Linked DNA regions of Xenopus tropicalis. The protein of the gene in region 1 interacts with the protein of each later gene in a pairwise test. Links are inferred from orthologs where the notes say so. Each region holds a gene or a part of one and is shown on either strand. Other genes may lie near its edges. The genes, in order: prkab2, csnk2b and dao.

Region 1 (6,262 bases):
ATTACTCCATCCTGAAAAACAAAAATCGATACATCACAGAAGGTTGGTACATTAAGTGCGTTGTGGGTCCCCAACATTTATAAGGGGAAACTATTCAGTCAGCTTAGCTTGTGATGACTATCAAATATTATTGATCAGTTACAAGATTTAAGATTAGTTTAAGATAAAAACTATAAACTGAAATATAAAAATGTATACTGCATTATTCTTGTACAGTTAACACATCCCCCATTGCATTTAACTAAGTAGTAATTCTATGAATTTGCACTTTCAAGCAATTCTGAGAATTCATGCGCTGGCTTGTAAGGCAAAAAAATCTTCCACCCGCCCGTGTCCACTACTTCCCAGCCACTTATGTTGAATAGGTAAAAGAGCGGCTGGGGAGGGAAGCAGACCCCCTGCGACCGCTGCAATCTGGGCCCCCTGCAACCGCGGGGACTGCTTCCATTATAGTGTCCAGCAGGAGTGGAGTGTGGGACTGTGTCCTGGAAGAGACTGTGCCGGGATTTGGCTTAACCACACAGGTTTTCCAGAGCAGGCTTTATTCATATTTTAGCACTACTTTGACCCACACTCTTTCGTTTATGCAACCAGCATGCATGAAATCCTATTTCTTGTGAGTTACTGTCCCAGTTTTTTTTAATAAAGGAGCAGGTAAATCACATGAAGGGGCATATTTATGAAAGTGTAAAATTAGAGCTCACCACTGTAAAATACTCCACTCTGTTTCTTCATGTGGTATTTTTAGAGGAGTATTTATCAAATGGTACATTCTAACTTTCACCTATTGATAAATACGTCTCTAAAAATCCCAATGGAATGAACAGAGAGTGGGTGAATTTTACTGTGGTAAGGTCTAATCTCACAATATTAGATTGTTAACGATATTCATGATGCTGGCAGCTAAGCTGTATGGTAGTCCTTTATACTTTTCTGCATTACTAGGGTCTGAAATATTTCCTTTAACCCCTTATTAACAGAAAACTTTACCTTTATTGACAAAGCATACAGATGGTTTAGCATGACGTGATTGGGTTCTGGAAGGAGGGCAGGATCACACTAAAATAAACATACATGTGTTAGAGAAGGTTTTAACATAACTTCATATTCAAACTTTTCATGTGTTGCAAGTCATGTCTGTACACTTAAAACACAAAATGTGTTACCAGTAGGAGCAAATGATTGTCCTCTGCTAATACTAAGAAGAATGTTAGGAATTTTAAGTAAAGAGATAAAAGAAGGGTTGAAGTGTTGTGTAACCACATACTGACCTATGGGAAATGCCAGCATTAAACATGGATTTTGTATTAAGATGTGCCCACAAAAACTGTTCTACACATTTCTCTCTTTATACTGTGGGGGCAATATAGGTGTATTGATTCTTTCAAATCTACTTTTTCAAATTTATCAGCTTAAGGGCGAGGTCAGATGAAGCTTCTCTCAGCCCTGCGCTTTTCTGCCAGGCTGAGAGAATCGGATCTGCTTCCGTAAGTTCCTCAGAGCTGAGCGGATCAGTGGTTGGTCTGGAAAATGTTGCGAAGCTGCATGCTGCCTGGCCATTATGAACACTATAAAGCATTTCTAGAGACTTTTATATGTAGCCCCATTAAAGGAAAAGTAACACTAAACATTTTTAAGTAAAAAATCTATTCTACCCTGCCCCAATAATTGCCCTATCCTGCACACCATTTATTATTTTGAATGCTTTATTAAAAAATACCTGCTAAAACTTGGCTTGCCTGCTCCTGGATTAAGGGCAATAGAAAAAATACATATTTGGATCTTAATTTCTCCAGGTAAAAGAACATTAACAAAAGCATAAAGAGCTTCTTCAAATATATAATGCTTTAAACTCACAGAGATGTTGGTGTCTTTGTTAAGTATAACTTGGAGAAGATGGGGAGGAAGGATAGGAGGTGATTTATAGCGTTCCTCTGGCTTGTAAGCATATAGTTCTTGGCCATAAAGTCCAGGAGGGGAACTTGATAAGTCTATCAAGAAACAAAATGAAAAATAATAGGTGAAAAGGGCAACAAGTCTGCATCAGATCATTATATGTAATACATTTATCTTCAGATCCACTGACAGCAAATACAGGCACTAAATCTTAATACAAAAATATTTAGAATTCTGTGTGAAATGGAATAATTTCTTCCTAAATGGACTGAGTGAAATTAAATAATTTCTCCCTAAAATATTACACCCCTTGATAATCATAGAAGGAAAGGCTAATAAAGAGTTAATCTCAAGCTGCAGGCATACCTTCAGCTCTCTCAATAGTGCCATTAAGTCTCCCCATATTTCTCCCGATCAGAAGCCAAACAGGAAGAAAAAACGCTGAGCTGTGTAAAAAAAAGTTCCCATAATGCCTCACTCCTGCACCCAGACCCAGACCGGTGTACATGCTCAGTTTGTAAGACTATGAGGAAGCTTCCTGCTGATTGGCTCAGATCCACATTCCTATGGTGGGGGAGGGAGTTCTTAGCATTCTTGAGGGAGGGGGGAGCAGGACAGGGGAGAGAGGAGAGAGCTGCATGTCTCTAGCAGAGGAAAACAGACACAAGAAATCTTTTGACAGAGAACTCAGTGCAGCGTTTCTGTGAGTGTTCATGGCTGTATTTACTAGATAGTAAGTGACCACATAGTTTATTGCTTGCAGAACATTCCTTCATTGTATATAGGCTGCCATGCTGATTGCTTCAGTTGGGTAACTAGCAACAATGCAATTGAAAGCACCAGATTACCAATGTAGAATAACAGGTTGTATTACAAACTAACAAATGAATGCCAGTTCCTACCTCTAGCTGATGTGTCAGAACTCTCCATTGAATCTAATTTTAAAGCATCAAATACTTCAAAATCCGACTTCTTAACATGGATCAAGTTGTTGATTGTACCAAGCTGGCTGGTAACCACAGGCTGAAGAGAGAATGAGACTTGCAGTGAAGCCACTGGTATAATCCTATCACTTTAACAGTCAGAACATTCTCCATATATTAGGAAAGCCTAAGAGTATGATTTAGCACTTACAAGCACTAGCTCTGTTCAAGTTGTGTAAATGGATGTGTATAATGCATAAATTTGAAACATATCTTGTTGTCTACTTTCTGTCATACAGAAAGTATCCAACAAGAGGGCACAAGCATGATTTAATTTTACCACAACAAGGCCAAGGTTAAAATGTGCAAATATATACTAGTTGTGATCAGTTCTGTATTAAAGTGATACTGACACCAGAAATTAAAACTTTTTTACATCTTTCATAACATTGTCTTTGCATGAGCTTTATAATTTTGCCATAAACATATTTCCTGAGGCTTTTACATTACCTATCTAATCCCCCATGTTTCTCTATGAGGGGGCGGCAATATTTGTGCAGCAGGAGTCTGTTAGCATTAGAAGCTATAACTGACAGGCTGAGAAGGGACAGTCAGGTTAGCAAAACAGTCGGGTTTAGGAACTTCAAGTAACAATTACTCACAAAAGCAGCCCTATCAGTGAAAAATGATCAACATGACCTATAGGTAACTTTTTATGTAGATTCATATTTTAAAAAGTAGTTTTTTCGTGTCAGTATCGCTTTAAAGGAGAAGGAAAGGCTAAGTCACTTGGGGGTGCTGAAATGTTAGGCACCCCCAAGTGACTTAGATCGCTTACCTTTTACCCCGGGCTGGTGCCCCTGTACGGAGAGAACAGCACCAGCCCGAGGTAGCAGCGAGCGCTTCCACTTCCTATTCGCTTGCGTGCGCATGCGCAGTAGAGTGAAAAGCCGAACTGAAACAAGAAAGTCGGCTTTTCACTCTACTGCGCATGCGCCGGCCCACGGATTTCGCTGGCAGAAGAAAAAGGAAGAAGGAAGCGCTTCCTGCAGGTACCCTGGGCTGGTGCTTTTTTCTCCTAACAGGGGCACCAGCCCAGGGTACAAGGTAAGCGATCTAAGTCACTTGGGGGTGCCTAACATTTTGGCACCCCCAAGTGACTTAGCCTTTCCTTCTCCTTTAAGCAGATACAGTTATGTGCAATGACACTGGGAATCATAACACACAAACTCATCATAACACAGCCAAATAAACAGTCATTCTCCCCTGTAAGCTTCTCATGTGTGGAATTTTGAGATTTAGTGTGAATGGATAGCCTTTCTAAACAAGCTACAGCTCTCCCCCGATTTACCTCAGAAGGGTCATGTACCCATTGGCCATCCACAAAAAACTTGTACTGATGCTCTCCCTCTGGAAGGTCCAAAATGGCAACAAAGTCATTGTGGCTACAAGACAAATTTAAAAATGAGAAGTTTAAACCGACAGAATGAATAACATGTAGTGAATAAAAAACCAAGTGCTTTTATACAAGTCGTGGAACTCAGTGACTATTAATATTCTTATATTTTACAACAGGGGTTACTATATTTAAGAAATTACACAAGTTTCAGCAACTTCTGTGACAGACATTACATTACTAAGCACTGATTATAACTGACAACATCAATAAGCACCATTTATAAGGATATAATACAGAAGAGCCACAAATTTCCTGTAAATTATATACTTAGAAATGGTGCTTAGTGATGTCATCAGTTAAAATCAGTGCTTAGTGATGGAGTTCCATGACCTGAATAAAAGCATGTGTCCTTGGGCCTTGTGCTTTTATGTAGTCATGGAACTCCTTGGTGACTTTTAATATCCTTATATTTTACAATAGGGGTACATTATTTACTTTATAATGTATAGTATATTCATGGCTCTTCTGTATTATAAACAAATATACACAAAAGTGCTAAGCTACAGTCTTATACAACTAAGATTTGTCTCTTAAAATGAGTATTTATTGATTATAGCTCTACAAGTCACTTATTTTCTTAGCAAGATTCAAACAAATATTTGTAGATGAAAGAGCGCACTATAGTATTAAAAGATCACATTCCCACTCCAGTCTCATATAGCTTTTAAGTTAATAAATATTTCTATAGGTATACATGCCCCTGGGCTGCTTTCATTTAAACAGGTGCCACTGTGCAAATAAAAAAGCTACCTGTTGTTAGGGAAAAAAATATTAAGCCTTCCCTGATATGTTTAAAAAGTATGACTTCTGCCCAGCTAGAGAGTTACAGGTAAGACAATCATGTAAACTAAAAAATACAAAACCAATATATGCCTATTTTTATGTAAGTTGTACTACCTTTTAATCAGTGGAATTTTGGCAGTCCAGTTGTTAAATGACCCAGATATGAAGACTTCTTTGCCACCTTCTGTCCAACGGATTACAGTGGGACGACCTTGCTGAGCTGATTTTCCAGGATCCTCTGATTCCTGGGGCCACGTTGAGTCACCAGGGTGCTGCATTGCCAAAATGTAAATTAGAAATAGATTTATAGCTCGGGAAACAATAACTTGTGGGTCTCCAGCTATTGTTGCTATCTACCTTTTGTGTCAAGGGATTTCTCAGAAATGTAGTTCAACAGCAGGAGGTCCACATATAATAAACTCTTTAGAAGAAGCACTATGGAATGTATTTTTGCATCCCTTCTAACACTAGCATTCGGGTCATAGTAAATGACCCCTATGGCATTAAAAGATCACATTCCCACTCCAGTCTCATATAGCTTTTCAGTTCATTGGAATACCTTAGATTCTTGAGTACTAAAGATATTTGGGTCGTCTGTGCTTCCAACCATGATTTTGTTTTCCTCATGCTCCTTAGTAGAGTGTCCCCCAGTTGCTCCATCTGCACGGTGGGACTTGCCATGCCGATCTCCAGATAAGCGATCACTTGCTGTGTTACCCATATTTGGCTCAGGCCACTGCAAAGCAAACAAGTTGTGGTGTAAAGTGTATTTTATATGAAGGGGAAATATGTAAGAGAGCCAAAAGTACAACTAATAAATAGGGTTAATATGGCTCAGGCTATTGTTTTAATTTTGAATCATATATCTTATTTAAGCTATGCAAAGAAAGCATGGTTTATCTTTACACAGCTTCTGTGTCTAGAAATGTGCAATGCAAGTCAATGCAAGGAGAGACAATGACCTCAGTATGATATATATCAGCCTCAGAGTGCCTGGAGTTTAAGAAATAAAAAAGAAAAATAAGCAATGGGTAACTGTAACACTCATTCTCACTCCTTTACTGGAATGAATGAAGGGCTCTATCACATGGGATCTGTATGTTCTTTCCATGCTTGTGTTATTTCCTCCAGGTACCCCAGTTTCCTTTCACACTCCAAAAATATGAACTGGCTACTGATATCATTGATAGGAACTTAGACT
Region 2 (6,323 bases), on another chromosome or scaffold:
GGGCAGTCGGATCGGGGACCGCATCAACGAGCCGATGCGGTCCCCGATCCGACCAGATTTTCTAACCTGGCCGATCGAGATCTGGCCAATTTCAGGCCAGATATTGGTCGGCCAGGCCGATCTGCTCTCCCCATACACGGGCCGATTAGCTGCCGAATCGGTCCAAGGGACCGATATCGGCAGCTATAGTCGGCCCGTGTATGGCCACCTTTAGTGTTACATTTGGACAATTATTTCAGGTTGAGTCAGGTTCAGGCTGGGGAAGTACACTCTTCCTCTGCTCCCAAATGATTTCCTGTCTTGGAACCTAAGTCATGCACATCAGTAGCGCGACTTGCGTGCAGGTCCTAAAATTGCAACATTTTGCTATTAGAGTAATTTGTGGGTCTGGGTCGGGTGCGGGTTGAGTTTTTCCTGACATCACATCACTAGTAGGCACTGTGCAAAGTACAAAAAATGCCTGATTACGGCCCTTTTTTGCATACTGCCTTCTGTTAAATGACCCCATCTTATTCATGCAGATAAAAGCTGTCTCTTGCTTGTTTGTTCTTTATGGATATATTGGGCCCCCATTTAATGTGTTATTTCATGGTACTGCAAGATATTTATTTGGATACAACAAAATATTTCATGGGGAATCCCCTTATCCAGGTCTGGAAATCTTTTTTGTTTAACAAATAATTGGTCCCCCACCCACAATGGCCTGCAATTTGTATGATGATTAGGCATGACTAAATGCAACAAAACATGTAACTAAAGGTTTTCAAAGAGGCTTAGCTTCAATCTGCCCTATATGTAAGTGAGTTAATGTGAGTTTAGAGCATAATACATAAAAACTTAATCACTTTCTATTTATTCCTATGGGATTTTTAGAGTCCCATAGGAATACAACAAGAGAGTTGTAACTTTCGCCCATTGATAAATACGCTTCTAAAAATCCCATAGCAATGAATAGAAAGTAGGTGAGTTTTTATATATTAATGTATTAAACTCACATTTTCATAAATCTGCCCCTTCTAATCTAAAATAACAGGCATGGCCCGTATGACCAATCACATCACACAACTTCTTAGGGCCAGATTCATTAAAGTATGAATCTGAATCACAAAATTTCATAGTTACGATCCGAAAGTTCCAAAATTTTCGTATTGAAACGATCGTTTGCGAATGGCTAAATTTTCAGATTCGAACGATTGTAAATGGTGGGAAAACCTTTCTGACTTTAAACCTTTAGTGCATGATTTTGGAAGACTCTCATAGGACTCAATGGCACTCAGCAGCTCCAACCTGGCCCAAGAAAAGTCACGATAACGAAGCTTGAATGAATCCAAAACTTTTGTACTTGTTGCGACAAATACGATTTTGTCGCACAAATTGTTGTGCAAATTGTCGCAAAGTACAAAAAAGTTGTAAACTTTAGAAAAAATATGTATTTTTCGTATTTGGACCTGTCATAATAAATGTGCCCCATAGTATCAAAAAACTATGCAGCAGTGTATAGGGGCTACTGTGTATGGGGGACACTGTGTGGGGGGGGATACTGTGTATGGGGGGGCTACTCTGTATGGGGGGGGCACCTGTGTATGGGGGGGCTACTGTGTATGGGGGACACTGTGTGGGGGACACTGTGGGAGGGTCTACTCTGTATGGGGGGCATCTGTGTATGGGGGGGCTACTGTGTATGGGGGGCTACTGTGTATGGGGGCACTGTGTATGGGGGGGGCAAAACTGGTACATAGTTATAACTCACTTATAACTGACTGCCTTCTCTCTATATTTGTATTTTATATGTAGGAGTTGCTATATTGTTTTTCTTTAGGTAGTACAGTATGAGGGTATAGCACATTTGCGTCTGATCCCGCCATTTCATATATATATAAAAGGAGTATTTTTTTTAAAAATGGGGAGTGGCAATTGGGGCGTGGCCACACAAAGTGGGCGTGGTCAAAAAATCTTTTTGTCCCTCTTTTCATTTTTTTTTAATGTTGGGAGGTATGGACAGGGCGTCTCTTATGACATATAAGGGGTTTCTGCCCAGTCAATATCTGTATGACACAGGGTCAGGGAATGATTTGGCACCAGGGTTGCCATCTGCCTGCTATTTTACCAGCCTGGCCGGTTCCCTGATGCTGATGTTAATAGGAAAAAAGGTTAAAAAAAAACAGGGAAGCTTGTATTTTTCTCCAAAAAGGTGGCAACCCTATTTGTCAGGTTTAAAAATCGCATCCAGCCAAAGTTGCCTGGAGTGTTGATTCAGTCATTTCCTGATGGTAACTGTACAAGCACATAATGATCATCACAAACCAATAAGCTATGATTCAATCATCCAGACGTGGCTCACTGTGCCCTATGAGTTTGCTTAAACATCCAGCAATGCCATGTACACTAGCTTTAAGCAGGTACTACTGCAAACTTCACTGCCACTTTGTGAAAATCCAGGATGGTTCTTTTAATGACTACACTACTCCATAACGTAACTAAAAAAGCCTCGCATGCGCCTACATCTACAAAAATATACAAAATTACATTAGTCACGTATTAGTTATCCACGTCTCCTCTCACAAACGAATCGCATCCGGTGTAGAGTTTTATCTATATGACTACATTTCCCGCGATTCAATCAGAAAGAATTACTTCCGGTCTTTTTGCTTCTGGTTTCTAATGCGCTTGCGCACTAAGGGGACCGGGCCTAGTGCGCTGCGGTGAAATTTTGCCGGTTCAAAGCCTCCAAATATACGGCAAGCAGCGGTCCCTTGGAGGTGAGTGTTTGGGGTAAAGCCCGCCTTGTGTATTCCGGTTCTTTTCTCCTAATCTCCCATTGTATCTTGGCTGTGTCCTATGTTTTAACGCGTTTGTTTGGACCGGAATTGTCGAGCTATAGACCCGGGCCTTACATCACCCCGCCTGGCTTCCCCCTAACCCTTTCGGGCCTATCTATACGTGAGGCAGAGCGGAACACAACTTCCGTTGTTTCGTTCCAGATAGACTATGAGACTGCTGTGTATTTTCTTGTACTTTGCTATAAGCAACATTGCGGATTTCCCCGCATCATTTGATGTTGTTGGGGGCGCCTTATTCCTCTTGTCGCAGTAGTTGTTGAAGCCGCAGTGTGCGCCCATTCTGAAGGCTTATGGCTTCGGGTTCCTGGGCGAGGGCGCAGGCGGCTGCTCCGGGGAGCCCATATTGCTGCAGTCTATTCCCAGCTTAGTACAGGGGATCCGGCGCCAGACGTGCCCAGCACAGCCAAAATGTGGCAGTAATGGTGGTAAAAAGGGAGATCTGAGATGTTTTCCTCTGCTGATCTTTCCTAGAAATGCTAGTGTTCGTGTTTTGGGGTGGGGGTATTCGTGCTTTGTTGGGGGAATGTTATAACCTGGCCATCTCAGTAACTTAGTCTCCTGCTGCACTGTGGGCTTATTTTGATTGCTGACTCTTTATTTAAAAAATTCTGTGCTTTGTTTGTTCCCTATTCCCTCCAGTAGACCTTACAGTGCCCACATCTTGTCTCCCTAATTATATGGAACCATAGCTATTGTCCCTTGTCTGTCTGTACCCCACTTGTACCTTTCATATTACATCTTATTTCTGTCATCTGATTTTACAGCACCCCATTTGTTCCCTTTTTTATATTTTATTTTGCCTCGACCTTAGCGTAATATCCATAGCTTAATTCACGCGCTCCAGTTTTTTTTTTTGCTGCCTCTCATTAACATTGCTGTGTTAGTTTTGTTTAATTTTCTTTAATTCGTTTATACATATTTTGACCCAATACTATGTTTTTTATTGAGTTACTCTCATTTTCCTTGTATAAAAGCTTTTCTTTTTGTTCCTCAGGCTAGAAAATGAGCAGCTCAGAGGAGGTGTCCTGGATTAGCTGGTTTTGTGGTTTAAGAGGCAATGAATTTTTCTGTGAGGTGAGTCTTACTTAAAGATCTTTTCTTTGAGAGAAATAATAACTGTTAATCACAAAATCACTGACAGAAACCTACCAGGTTAGTGAAATAAATAGCTGTAAAAAACACTCCACTTCATCATATAGAAAAAAAATACTACCTCCTACTGCTGTTTTATTCTTGCTGATGTTCTTTCAGCCTCTCTTATCTCACACCCCTCCTGAAAAGAAAATTACTCCTCTTTCTGAAAAATGTATCTCGGCACTGCTTTGTATAGTCAAAAATCATAATGCTTGTGTGTGTTGTTTAGACCAAATTAAATACATTTGCAATATAAACCCATTAAAAATTAACTATCATTTTTTAAATAGAAGCCTTTGTATTTTGCATCTTTTGCTATTCCCCTAAAATGAGCTACAGTTAGCTTTGCCGTCTGATTTATATAGAACAACATTTGTTATAGTGCTTTCCTATCTTAGGGCTATATATAAACACTCGGTTAAGATTTTGACTTTATTTCCCCTTTTAATAGTGCTTTTTATTTAATCAGCTGTAAGGATTTATTCCTACCCGCTTGCCTTTCAGCTCAGTCAAGATTTGACTGTTCCACCTTTTCATTTCCAGCAGAATTACCTCTCCATTTGCAGTTACTGCAGGTAGAACACTTACATTGTATAATTGTACAAAAATAATTAAGAAGCCATTTTTGTGCAATTACATTGTGTTTTATCTTTGGCATTTAATATTGTCTGCAATGGAAAGGAATTTTTCACCATTTTGTCGCCACAACAAAATGCAGGTGACAAAATGCCAGTCGTTGCATTAAAGGACATGTAAACCCTTTATTTTCCTACCATAAAGGTTGGACACATCTTCCTCACACCAACTGAACCATATGTACTGCATATATCGCCTTTGTTCACATATTTTTCTAAAACAAATAGGAGCTTTTACCCATCAGTTTCCCTCTGACACATAAGCATATTTCTCTAGCAGTGTGCACAGCTAGAGCAGTGTTTTTATGAAAACCAGTGATGACCTCTCTTCATTGGCTGCTAGACTGGAGGGTGTGTTTGGTAATTTGAATTAAGAGCTAAGCATGCCCAGTAGCCAACAGCCAAAGTCATTTCCGAAGGAAGAGTAGGTTAGAGGAGGAGAAGGAATCCCAAGTTATCAAGGGGCTGCTGCAGCCTTACAATAGCCTTACAATACCTTTGAACAACCAGAATCACAGGTATTTACATGTCCTTTGAGGGGCAGCCTATTAAATATTACATCTGGTTTTCTAAAGATGTTGCTTTGCTGACATACTTTCTTTTTTAGGTGGATGAAGACTATATCCAGGATAAGTTTAACTTGACAGGACTCAATGAGCAGGTCCCTCACTATAGACAGGCACTGGACATGATACTGGACCTTGAACCTGGTGAGAATATCTCCCATTGTGACTTCAGCTAACTTAATATGCATGCCATCATAGGCATAGTAAACATTATCTTTTTATTAGAACTGGTTATATCCAGCTGTACTTTACAGTTGCCTTCACCAGTCAGAAATGGCGAGCCTTTGTCAAGTCTCTATTGCAGGGACAGAGCTGTGTTTTCTGTATAGTACATTCTTTTTATCTTTATCATTTGTTTACGTGAATTTTGTGCAGTTTTTCTTTTTAGAGTATCAGCTATATTATACTATACCAACAATTTTTAGATTTGCATCTTGTAAAATCTTCCCAACCACCGTGTTTATCTCCTGCTCTTTTTATAAGTGTCCATATTGAAGAATTGTTTCTAAGTTTACATTGAATATTGACATGCCCAGCTGTCCTTGCTTATTTATATGTGCAAACAATGGTCCCTTTTACACCAAATCTGTTTTTATTTCTCTGCTTTTCTCATGCAGATGAGGAATTGGAAGATAATCCCAATCAAAGTGACCTCATTGAACAAGCCGCAGAGATGTTATATGGACTGATCCATGCCCGTTACATACTGACTAACCGTGGCATTGCCCAGATGGTGAGAGTGTTGTTGATAATGATATTATTTTAGGCAGCTGTATTTTTAGTTTTTAATGTTAATGATAAAAATACTGCTGACTGGCTATTTATAGTGTTTCCAAATTCACTTTGGTATATGAAATGTTTAGAAGCATGCAGGCTCAAGGGGCACAGTTTTTACATGCTTATTTACCAGCAAGTTAATATCCACAGCAGTGCTTTCTGTAGTTACATTTATAATTAGCCCTATTTCCACAACGATTAGATGCAGAAATAATACTGAATTAGCAATTTTATATGTTTGTAATTAAGTATTCTGTTACTGATTTTTCCATGCATTAGCAATTTTATATGTTTGTAATTAAGTATTCTGTTACTGATTTTTCCATGCTTGTGGATTTAGAGTATAGGGAGAAGGAATTTCTCTAAGGGAT
Region 3 (5,373 bases), on another chromosome or scaffold:
TCTCCGTTGTGAAATTTCCTGTGAGTGCCGTTCTCCTCTGCTTATATATATAATATGTAAATAATTTATTTAGAGAAGCACTTGCAGGCTGAAACACTTGCGTGCCCTTGGCATTAGGTTGTCTGGTGGGCCTAAGCTACCCCAGTGCAACATTATACAGGACAAGTGCCCAGTGGCCTACATACTGGCATGTGTGTATGAGAGACAAAAACTGTGTGACACTGTGAATATGGCTTTGCTTCGGTGTGGTGGGCAGGCAAAATTTGCTTGTGTATGAGTCTGCTTGCATGTGTGTGTTATTGTGCATTAAGAGGGCACTATGGCTCCTAAGGCCTTTGCACCAAAGAAACCCACCAAATCCCAGTCTGATTCCCCTCTGTATTTGTTAGTTAGGGAAAGGGAGATTTTATTGTGTGTGTATTATTTGAAATACCTGTTAATGTTCTAGCTCAGTCTCCCCATTGATTGACAGCTCTGTTCCTGCATGCCAGTCCTGCTTCTAAACTATCCCAATACGTTTCTTAATATACACACTTATAAACCAAATCAATACCATCAAATATATATAAAATTGTAACTGGTCAGCCATCTATGTAAACTGTTTTATAACAATACAGTATGCCTTTGTTAGTTCCAGCTGGGATAGCCACATAAGTGTTTGTTTGCTTCTGGTTAAATGTTTTTTAAATAGAATTTACCTATGTGTTATGTATACTGCAGCACATTCTTAATTAAACAGCCCCCCTAAGTTACCAATTATGTAAGTTTTTAGTGACTTTATAGGCTTGCCAGTAAATTGATTTCCCTACAAACCTGGCATTACCTATACACCTAGTTATAGTATACAGGCTCAGTCTAGAAAAACAGGGTGTATTTGGTTAATGAATGTGCCACACTCCCACTTCAGACACCCTGCAGCAACCTCATAATCAGCAGGAAACAACACTCTGTATCAATATCCATATATTCATGCAGAGTGTTGTTTTCTGCTGATTATGGGGTTGCTGCAGGGTATCTGCAGAAGTATTACCGGTGGGAGGGGGCCAAAACCATGGCATCCATAGTTTATGAATGCAGTGGCTTTATATTATGCTTCATATATTCCAAATGACCTTGAACCCATCCATGATAGTGGAAAGTATCATTTCAAATGATAGCATGAAACAAGAAATGAGCATTCCATTCAGCCTATATTACTCCATTACTACCTTGTGCTGCAACCTAGTAGAAAATGCAGATATCCTATTTTTACATTTTCTGTTTTTCTTTGTGTATTCTCTATAAAGATGTATTTGCATGTATTATTTTTTATATTTCCCTATACTGTTTATCATTTTCTAGGTGCATGCACCTTGGATGAAACACTTTATTTTAACCCATGATCTGAAGACTGGAGTTTATACCACACCATATATCATACCAGGGTATGTTTTTTTTTCAAAAATATGAACATTTAATGCGAACATTTTTTTATTTTCTTTTTAATAACAATACAGATAATTTTGTGCTGTCCCAGCCTGCACCAGATAGTATAACAAAAACTGCGGAACACAGAAGGAAAGTATTTGGAAGCAGAACTTTTACAAGTTTTTCCATTATTTAGCATTGCTTATAGATACATGTTTTTCTGAATAGAATTCATCCCTGCATTTACCTGTGATACTGAGTGGCAGGAAGAGATACAGTGGTAGGACAGGAGTTGCTGACAGCTCCAGAAACAGTTAGGGAAGTGGAGTATGCAGTGTCGGACTGGCCCACCAGGATACCAGGTAAACTCCCGGTGGGCCCAGATGTCAGTGGGCCCTTTTGCTTCTATCTATTTAGCCTATTTCATGGTCATTCCCTATTTCTGTATGGAAACAAGGAGGCTTGATAGATGGAAGAATAGAGTATAGTATTTAGAGAAAAGAGACTAGGAGAATAAAGAGTTTGAGGGAGGAGAGGAGGAGTTAAAGTGTTGAGAGTGGGCCCATGGTCCAGGGTTTTCTGGTGGGCCCCTGCCATCTCAGTCTGACACTGGGAGTAGGAATTCTTGTGCACTAGGGATATAGACAACATATATACATATCTATATGCACCACATAAGGTGAATTGTTTCTTATACCCTTTCAGGGAGTTCCAAAACTCTCTATTTAATTGTTGGCTATGGGTAAATGCACTTATGCAATTTAGCTGGCCATACACATACTTATAAATTCCAATGTTGGGTGGACAGACATGACTAAAGTTATTTAAATGTCCTAAACATTTTTTACACAATTTATTTAGTTATGATTTATTTGCTGCCAAACCCCTTTCCCTGGCTGGAAACTTACTTTAAATTCTAGATGCATAGACAGACAGCAGATTACAAACCTGATGCATTATCTGTTGTTAGTGCAGGCCCAGTGTTGACTGGGCCGTATTTTGGTTGTAGCTTGACAGTTTAATATTTGGCCTGCAGCGACTAGATCTATATAAGCAGCATTTTTACTGTCTTGTATAATTACTTTTTAAAATGTTTTTATATTAATACAATGCAGAGAATAGAAAAGACACATATATTTATATTTATATTTTGTATATCCCCTTTAAGGAATTTTTTTTGCAAACTTTTATGTTTGCAGGTCAGATTCTGTCACGTTGGGAGGAATTTATCAGCTGGGAAATTGGAGCGAGGAAAACAATTCTGAGGATTACAAGTGGATTTGGGATAAATGTACTGAGTTGGTGCCCAGTCTTAAGGTATGGGTCATTTCTCAATGTAGAGTCAGTTTTCCCTGGATGACTGTGGTGGTGGCATAAAGACACTTCTGGGAAAACCTTCTTGCACCTTTCACCTAAGCTTTATTGCATTTCTCCTCATTCACCCTAGTGATAACCCTGTAATCACTGTGTTCTGTAAGGTGCACAAGGCAAATAGGATAAAATGTTGCAGAACTGAAACATTATGATTTTACCACCGTAGCCATGCTTTTTCTGGAATTCCACAATGGAGCTTGTGTGATGTTAGTAAGCCACCTTTTTTCCCATAATACAAGCCTTTGGGTCAAGGGCGGGCTGTGATGTCATTTGGGGGTGGGGAAGGGTGAATATGACTGGTAAATGGGTAGACCGGGCTGGGAAAATGGGCTTTGATGTGGGCCTGTAATTATAAAGGCTCATCAACAGTGGAGAAGGTGAGGAAAGGGGGCATTTATTACATGCTAGGCTGGTTAAATACCATCCAGGTAGCTGATATGGATGCATGCTTAAGTGCATTAGTGCATTTTTTTTATTTTGTGTCCTGAGGCAAGACTCTTGGGGGCAGTAAAGAGAAACTCCTTGCTGAAGGAAACCAGAAAGCAGGAATGTAATAATACAGGAAGCATGCCCTGCTGAACAGTGGCAAGTAAGCAGTTTCAAGATATGTCCATAAAAATGTCTTGTTTCAAAAGGGCCATGACATTATATTGTTGTAAGGCCCAGTAACTTCTAATAATGTCTACCTGGAAGAAGTGTTAGAAGTAGTAGTGACCCATTGGTGTAAGTTGGATCATACAATGAATGACACACAGATTCCAAGACTTACTTTAATCATAAATAACTTGTATTGTTGGACAGAATGCAAAGATTGTGCATACATGGACTGGGCTGAGGCCAGCACGCAGCAAAGTGAGACTGGAGAGGGAAGCCTTTGTTTCTGGATCTAACAAGAGCCAGGTGAGTACTTACCCCATTGTCCTGCAATTGGCACTATAAGGGCTATAAAACACAGAGATACTTATCACGAGTACTAAATGACAGAAAATACCCTGCCATAGACAACACTGAGAACTGTCTCTGCTAAAACACACAGGGCCGGGGCAGGAGACCGGTGGGATGGCATATCGGGGAGATTAGTCGGCCGCAACAAGGGAGAACTAGCTGGCTACAAGTAGCTCTGTGTTTCATTGCCCTTTAGCCTTTTCCTAATCAGTCTGTTGAAGTATATTGCTATTGTTTGTTTCATTTATTTTAACCATTGGTGTGCAATTGTTCACCTTTTCAGTACCGCATATAATTCCATCAGAGTTATTGTAAATAGTGCTTTCATCACTGCTGCCTTCTGATGGTGAACAGCAGTAGTCAAAACTGTTTGTCTGTCACTGCCCCTGAATAAAAAGCTGTATAATGAATTTACATTGAGTGGTAAAAGGAGGAAATCAGCATCAAAACAGTGCTCTGTGACAAGCATGCTCTGTAAGGTTACGATTCTACATGTATTGTTACTATTTACTATTTATCTTTCTGTTCAGGCCCTTTACCATTCATCTTTCAGTCTTTCATTCACGCCACTGCCTGGTTGCTAGAATAAATTTTACTCTAGCAGCCTCCTGAAATTCCAAGCTGCAGGGTTTCTGAATAATTAATTTAAAAAGCATAAAAAATGAAGATCAACAAAAAGAGTAAAAGCTGAAAAAGACTAGTACACAACTACCGAATGTATAAGTTCCTTTTTTATTGTATAAAAATATGATGTTTAACTAAAATAATACAAGCAACAAATGTGCAGATATGAATAGAAAGTACATGGAAATGAGAAGAAAACCAATGTACAAAATGTATCTTTCTATGATGTTTTTGTCTAAATAAAGCTTGAATAGAAAAAAAAAAAATGAAGATCAATAACAGTTTGATAACTGATTATTACTGTCAACATCATACTAACGTTAATTTAAAATTCTACCCCCCCCCGGAAATACTGATCTGCCTGCATTCAGCAGCACTGTATTCATGACGGGATGCACTTAGGCATACCCAGTCCTGTAACTTTAGATGCGCAAGTTAAGAAGTGACGGTGGATGTAAGCTGCAAAGGAGGCCTTTACTTAAGGACAGGGCTGGAGTGAGGTGCAGGTTGCAGCCTCCCACTGACAGAAGTGCTCACTGCATGACTACTAAAGGGAGAGCTCTTTTGGCCCTTAGTGCTATTGTACTTCTTCTCGGGGACATACAAAATGACGCCTAATGTCTCTTTGAATATTCTGTGACCTAAAGGAGGTACCCATAAAAAAACAATATCAAAACAGTGACTTGTTTCGTTGGTATTATTACTATGCTAAACGCTGTGTTTTATAAAATGTACCACATTGTTTACTTGGAAATATAACTAAAAGTATGTTATAAATGTAAGCTAAGCTAATATTTGTATTTTATTCTCTTTACTACAGATAATTCACAACTATGGCCATGGTGGATACGGTCTTACAATTCATTGGGGGTGTGCCATGGAGGCAGCAAAGATCTTTGGGCAGATCCTTGCAGAAAGGAACCTTAAAGAGACTCCTAAGTCTTCCCTTTGATTTTGACTGCCACATACAGAAATCATCCAGGAAGTGAAACTGCCACAAAACAAGTTTTGAATTTAGAATGA

The links.
Region 2: the proteins of prkab2 (region 1) and csnk2b interact in a two-hybrid assay, tested with the Homo sapiens proteins (2 studies listed by BioGRID and IntAct). The link is inferred for Xenopus tropicalis from reciprocal best matches to the Homo sapiens genes PRKAB2 and CSNK2B.
Region 3: the proteins of prkab2 (region 1) and dao interact in binary tests that used the Homo sapiens proteins (3 or more experiments, as listed by UniProt). The link is inferred for Xenopus tropicalis from reciprocal best matches to the Homo sapiens genes PRKAB2 and DAO.

The regions. Positions count from the first base shown.
Region 1 is NC_030680.2:118,095,601-118,101,862, reverse strand, and holds part of prkab2 (5'-AMP-activated protein kinase subunit beta-2), read right to left. Parts: intron 5,798-6,262; 5' UTR 5,783-5,797; coding exon 5,621-5,782; intron 5,334-5,620; coding exon 5,176-5,333; intron 4,265-5,175; coding exon 4,171-4,264; intron 2,920-4,170; coding exon 2,799-2,919; intron 1,992-2,798; coding exon 1,858-1,991; intron 1,060-1,857; coding exon 991-1,059; intron 12-990; coding exon 1-11. UniProt on the Homo sapiens protein: Non-catalytic subunit of AMP-activated protein kinase (AMPK), an energy sensor protein kinase that plays a key role in regulating cellular energy metabolism.
Region 2 is NC_030684.2:74,723,320-74,729,642, forward strand, and holds the start of csnk2b (casein kinase II subunit beta), read left to right. Parts: upstream 1-2,658; 5' UTR 2,659-2,759; intron 2,760-3,834; 5' UTR 3,835-3,842; coding exon 3,843-3,914; intron 3,915-5,216; coding exon 5,217-5,319; intron 5,320-5,792; coding exon 5,793-5,908; intron 5,909-6,323. UniProt on the Homo sapiens protein: Regulatory subunit of casein kinase II/CK2.
Region 3 is NC_030677.2:146,532,852-146,538,224, forward strand, and holds part of dao (D-amino-acid oxidase), read left to right. Parts: intron 1-1,341; coding exon 1,342-1,424; intron 1,425-2,606; coding exon 2,607-2,724; intron 2,725-3,582; coding exon 3,583-3,681; intron 3,682-5,170; coding exon 5,171-5,302; 3' UTR 5,303-5,373. UniProt on the Homo sapiens protein: Catalyzes the oxidative deamination of D-amino acids with broad substrate specificity. Required to catabolize D-amino acids synthesized endogenously, of gastrointestinal bacterial origin or obtained from the diet, and to use these as nutrients.